Linked DNA regions of Solanum lycopersicum. The protein of the gene in region 1 interacts with the protein of each later gene in a pairwise test. Links are inferred from orthologs where the notes say so. Each region holds a gene or a part of one and is shown on either strand. Other genes may lie near its edges.

Evidence for each region.
Region 2: the proteins of IAA19 (region 1) and protein phosphatase 1 regulatory inhibitor subunit PPP1R8 homolog interact in binary tests that used the Arabidopsis thaliana proteins (3 or more experiments, as listed by UniProt). The link is inferred for Solanum lycopersicum from reciprocal best matches to the Arabidopsis thaliana genes IAA19 and AT5G47790.

The regions. Positions count from the first base shown.
Region 1 is NC_090802.1:65,646,317-65,649,945, reverse strand, and holds IAA19 (IAA19), read right to left. Parts: upstream 2,183-3,629; 5' UTR 2,137-2,182; coding exon 1,761-2,136; intron 1,580-1,760; coding exon 1,486-1,579; intron 856-1,485; coding exon 747-855; 3' UTR 564-746; downstream 1-563. UniProt on the Arabidopsis thaliana protein: Aux/IAA proteins are short-lived transcriptional factors that function as repressors of early auxin response genes at low auxin concentrations.
Region 2 is NC_090803.1:6,018,644-6,021,679, reverse strand, and holds the end of protein phosphatase 1 regulatory inhibitor subunit PPP1R8 homolog, read right to left. Parts: coding exon 2,726-3,036; intron 1,544-2,725; coding exon 742-1,543; 3' UTR 505-741; downstream 1-504. UniProt on the Arabidopsis thaliana protein: Inhibitor of protein-phosphatase 1 (PP1). Binds to and inhibits PP1 activity.

The DNA of each region.
Region 1 (3,629 bases):
TCGCAACACATGATTTGATTGATAATTAATTTTTTTTTTTTGGATATTAATTTCGGTGGAAGTAAGAATTAGTCCGTGTGCATGTATTTCCACACTGAATACTGTGATATGTAGTGAAACAAAAGTATATTCATATGGTATATCACTGCTTTATTATCCCCCCAATAAAAATAAAAATTAAGGTTCATCAGTATTTAATGATCCAAGAAAAAAATACATTGGACTTATAAGTGTGTTGGAGTGATACAGGAATCTTTCCATTTTTACATAAGTATGCATGAATATGTATAGCTAATTAGTGTATGCTAATTGTCTACTCGATATTATATTGTTCACCTTAATCGAGTTATAGATATTTGATAAATCCAACTTCAACATGGTGAACAGATAAGGAAAAAACTAGCTAGAAAAAATAAATTTTTTTAAAAAAGATAAGGAAAATAGAAATACAAATAATGTAAAAAAAGAACTTTTTAGTAACGTGGACAATTGATATGAAATTGAAACAAAGGGAAAGTTAGATGGTAGCCACAATTTCAGCACAACATGTTGGTTACACATATAGCCTTATTATACATACGAAAATTGTCATTTAAGAGCAAATAAGGTACTGATTACTACAATAATTAAGCTAATTAAGAGGAAATCAAATCAGAAATTGATTTTAAGTCTAGGGTGTCTTATCACACCTAAGATTACAATTACAATTATATATTAATGTAAAAATATAGCTTGAATCATCCACTCTATTTCTCTTGAGACATTCCCTTGAGAAAGTCTCTTGCTCCAAGCCCTATCACTTTTGCCTCTGATCTCTTCATGATCCTTAGCCTTTTGCATGATTCACTGAACATTCTGCTAAATCAAATTCCAATTAATACGACTTCTTTTGATTTTTTCTAACACTACAAAATGTTTGATGAGTAACCGATCAAGGTTGTTATAGTGTGGTAGGTAGTAATTTATTCTTAACCAAGAGGTTTCAGATTTTAGTTGTCTTGGGTATAAAGCTGCCTTTGTTAGGAAGTTTTAACCTTCCTGGCACGAATCCCTATTTAATCGGGTTTCAATGTTCTAATTTATCGGCATAATGATGTTTTGATCTATGCCTTAAAAAGGACAAAATTGATCCATCAGTGAATATATGCTAGTTTAAATCACCTAAATTTGACTAAATTGGTCAATTTATGTACTATAAGCTAAATTTTACACCCCTTTTAACACATTAATTAGTTTAGTTTTACAATTAATTAAAGAAGATTCAATTAGGGATAAGGTGCCCGAGGGGCAGATCGCGTTAAAAAATTACTAATATATAAAATTTGAACTTTTTTTAACATAAGATTAGAGGTCGACTGAATTTAAAATTCAGTCGACAATTTCAAAATTCAAATCTCAAGTATTATATTAAATATGTTCCTAAATTAATAAAAATTCTGAATCTGTCGTCTCGAATAGAACATAAAGAGAAAGTGAAATACTTACATCCATGGAACATCGCCGACAAGCATCCAATCTCCATCTTTGTCTTCATAGATTGGAACGAACTCTGACTTATCTGCATCCTCCAATGCTTCTCCTGTTGACACATTTAAATACAAATTTAACATATATAACACTAGCAATTAAATTGCTTATATTTATGAAAAAGATGCTCGATTTATGTTTATTAGTATAGTACAGTAACCGTACATTTCAATAATAATAATTTCACTTTGCCTAAATAAATGCATGTTAATATAGAAAACTGAAATACTAACCAATTCCATAGCAATCAAAGAGTTTTTCAAGAGCCATAACAAGTTGATCATAACCCTTATGAGTACTCAAATCAACTTTCCTCAAAAACGGTGCTCCATCCATGCTAACTTTGACGTACATTTTATTATTGGATTCAGCTTCACGTCCGTTAAAACTGTTCTTTTTCCGGTAAGCACACACAGGAGGCCAACCAACAACTTCGTTCTTGTATTGACACTTGTAATTATTAGCCTCAACGTTGTTGTTGTTGTTGCTGCTGCTGCTGTTTCGATCACTAGTAGTAATTTCCGAATAAACCCTTTTCTTTTCATTTTTCTCCAATATTCCTCCTGGAAGTCCCAATCTTAGCTCAGTAATTTCCAATTCTGTTGCCATTTCGTATTATGTTTTGAAGACTGGAAAATTAATATATTGTTGTTTTGATGGAAAAAATGAGTGTGTGTGTTTATGAGTATATATAGGAAATAAATAATTGAGAAGACAATGGCAGGTAAACTAAACTTAATGGTCGGTCACATGAGATACAAAGGTAGGGAAAATATATATGTTAGGTATGTAATTTAAAACATTAATAATTTGTGGAGATTTACTTGTGACCGTTTGATATGGTTAACAAAAGACATGCCATGTGATGAAGTGTTCCCAATATGTTTGTAGACACATTAATATACGCGTGCAAATAAAGGTACATATATACATGTAATTATTTCGAGTTGGGATAAAATTTTTGCAAGTACGGATAAGGTATGTGTATATATTAATCTCTTCAGATTTTATATACGGGTTTATATTGGGTAACTTATGGATTGGCCGAATCAAGTTTGGTTTAAAAGCTATTTACGTGATTGACAATAGAATCTTGTTTAATAAGTGGAACGCAATAACTGTCCGCTATCAGGTTGGACAGTCAGGGTAGGAGAAGGGCAATGACTCATTCTTATAACCAGCGTTTTTAAGAACAAGAAGTCGGGCGGAAGGGGGAAAAGCCCTACGTTCCTGGTTCTCTTTATAGTTGAATCCAAGTCTCTTGCCACCTAAAACTCTGGCAAGAAAGCACTGCTTTACCTTTGATCCTATGTACCTTCTCTCTCATTAATTTTAAGAAATTTATTCGTACAAATTATAAATTTTGAAGTCAATAACTTGAAAAAAAACTAGAATTTCATATTCATAAGTACTTTAAATTATGATTTCGTCTCTAGCTAAACAAATCTTTTAATTGGACAAGAGCCTATTTGGGACTAAAATCAAACAGGAGGGCATAATTATTCTATTTCACTAGTTAAGGGGCAAATGTGACCTTTTGTCAAAACTAATACAGTTAAATTTAAGTTAAATTAAGTGTTATGTTTATTTCAAAAATTTTACATATATAGTCATGTATTTGAATTAGGATTGACAATTTCGAAACCAATGAATACACATATTTCTCTTGAAAAAAAATGATAGTTTACGAAAAAGAATACCATAATTTATTTATTTTTTTGTCTCCGTTATAATTTTCTAATACACGGACAATTAATTTTTTGAGGAACATATCCAATTATAATAGGGTATATGGATATTTGATTCTTGCAGAGAAGGCAAATTTCTGCGAGATAATATTATTATTTACACATATAATAAGTAGCATGTTATTAAAGGAATATAATTTCTCCAATTATAGACAATCAGTTTATACTACATTATAACAAGAAGATACCACGATGAGAATATTTTGCAATATTGGGACATAGAAATCTTACTTTGAATCCCTTAGATTAGAAATTAATACATAAATATAACTATTGTCTAGTCAATTATTTACAAATTATAGTTGGTCTTCTATCAAATATATAAATTCAACATTTTAATTAAGTAGACATTCT
Region 2 (3,036 bases), on another chromosome or scaffold:
TCTGATCAAATATTTTGATATTAATATATTATTTCATCATTTAAACACTGAAATTTAAGAAATAATCTACAACTATAAATTTTTGTTATCAATCTTAGAAGAAGTTAATTTTCAAAAAGATTTAAAATTTGTATCTTGGAGCTTAAATCTTTATACATTTATTTATGAATTTATTGATTTTGTTTCAACTCCCTCATACTTGGGGATCAAAAGTTCAACACCACCCAGCTAACTAGATATTAATTGTGTTTGAAAAATTGCTTATATAATGAAAAAATGTTTTCAGAGAATCATTAAGTTATGGGAACAACAACATATCTAGGAAAATCTTACGAGTTAAAACTAAGGATAGAATAAGATAATAATAGATTTTCATAGGCTATATACAGCCCTAAAGATAAATTTTTGATAGTTCCTAGTAAATATTGTATTTGCTGATCACATCATACAACAAAAAGCACCACATGAGCATTGAGTTTATGACCACTTGTTCTGCACAAAATGAAAATGGGAAAGATAAGACACTTTTTTCCATTGATCTCAAGTCACAGATTCAGTGTCCTGACAAACAAAGTTTTAAGTTCAAAATTGAATCCCTGTTGGTGCACACGCCAGGAAAGAGAAGAATACAACGACTAACATAATTTAATCTACTTGAGATGCCTCGTGCAGCTCATACGTCTGAACTCATTGCCAATGGCCAGGGGTTGAGGCCGAATTCAAAAGTAAGCAATGTGTTTGCTAGCCAAACAAATCATCAGTATCGTCATCCACATTGCTTGAGATACTCCCAGAGACTCTGCCTAAGGAACCAGGGGAGTGTCCTTCAGCATCGTTAGTGGAAGCAGACTGACCGATACCAGAATATGCCCAAGATCCAACTTTACTAGGAATTGATTCTCCATAAAGATCGTCATAAATTCCACCCTTAGGCGGATTCTTCACCTTGTTCAATACCTGTTTAAGTTTGTCTGTTACACCTGTTTGGGAAACGTTGACATCTTTTACAGAGGAGTGTTCTTTCCCTTTGGGTATCACTGTAATTTCTATAAGAGACTCATATTTTCCAACAAGACTTCCTTCTTTCACACCCACTGGACCAGGTTCTGTCTCCACATCTACTCCATCTGAAATACCGACAACTTCAACTAGCTCCCCCCCAACCTGGTCTTTAAATGACACACTTCTTCTCCTAATTCTTTTTGTAGGCCTCTCAGATGAATGATTGGCATCCTTCTCACTAGTTGATACTGTTGATTTTGACAATGAATCAGGCCTAGTAAGTCCATAGCGGTTTAAAAAGGTGTTATAAGCCAAAACAGCTTCCTCATCTGAAGGATCTGGAACTGGTGGTAAATCTATTTCTGCAGGTAGTCGTGCAGGAGGGAAGAGAGCTTCATTGTTCTTTCTCAAGATGTAAGTCCTTGTTGATGCAGCAAACTTCAAAGATTGTCCAGTCTCGAGCTCGACAGGGGAATCCTTTGTTAGCCTCTCATTAGCAACAAATGTTCCATGTGCAGATCCTAAATCAATCACATAAATGCTGCGAGAGAAAAGATATTATTAGTTCACATAAATTATTTATTTTCGTTACTTCTACTGTGTCTTTAGACAAAGAAATTGCACCTTTTAAAACTGTAATGCCTATCCTTATATAATATCTTTTCAAAAGGTGTGTCTTGACATCTAAGGATAGGCATTACAGTTTCAAAAGGAGCAATTTCTTTGTCTAAAGACACACAGTAGAAGTAACAAAAAATAATAATTTATAAGCAGGCCAACCTGATCATAAGAAGAAAAGAATACTTCTATGTCAATAAGGATTCTCACTATTGACAAGTTGCTCTTTTTCCCGATAAGGTAAAATTTTATTGATAAAGGTACCAAAATGGCACAATTACAGCAACCCAACTGCAGATTAAAAAAAGCCTTCTACATATCATCTAATTCCTCAAGAAAATTCATCTATTCAATCAAGTTTCCCATAACACTACTTTTACACCATAACACTACTTTTACACCAGAAATGCAAATCTAGTAAACACCTATTTTAACACCTATTTTTTACCCTGGAGATATGTTTGTCAAAATTGACAAGTTACATTAACAGTGTTATCAAAATGACTATGCAGTCAAAAGAATCATCTTTATTACTTAAATCTAAATGGGGCTAGATGCTCCAATTCACGAGGATTGGATGACCATGATAGATGATATTTACAGATACATGACATTCTTGATGTCCCAAATTGTACAATTAACAGTTAACAACAAAATTTGAAATGATCTTGAGCAACATCGAATAAATCCACAGTTCCTCATTTCTTGCATTGTGGGGTAGTATTTGTGAATCTTCAAAAATAAGCAACAAATATGCAAAATATCATTGCTTTAGTAAGAATGTCCAGCAAGAACAAATTTAAAAGTTGAAGTCCACACAAGATATTTCCACACATATATAAGTGATTTATTAGTAATGGAACCATGGCCCTGACGCCAAAGCTTGCTTAATTTTTTTACTTACTCACTTCAGCTCAAAGAAGAAATGCATAAAAATGAATTTCATAACATATTCAAGCATTTCATCATCATAGAGTTATATTCGTGTTATGTAGTATTTCATCCATTCAATAATTACTTGTCGACTTCTCCTGCCAAGCTAGCCTAAATAACAAAATAATATGTTCACCACTAAATAAGCAAAAAACAGGAACACGTGTCACACCTTCCATTTTTGTGAGGAACCACAGCAGCGTGCTGGCGTGAGACTGACTGATGATCAAGGACAAAATCACAAGTGTGAAACTGTCGTCCAAAGATATGCCTTCGCTTATCCAAATTAATTCGATCAAGTACCTCCCCGTCTTTGATCACATCAAGATAATAAACGCCTCGACGTGGCTCAATAGCCCAATCAGGAGGCTGCCAAGTTGATTGTCCCCCTCCATGAGTGACATGATGAGTTGGCCCTATAGAAGAGGTTGCATCTGCCACAACGGATTTCTGCAAAGCAGGTTGGGGATTTACATATTGAGT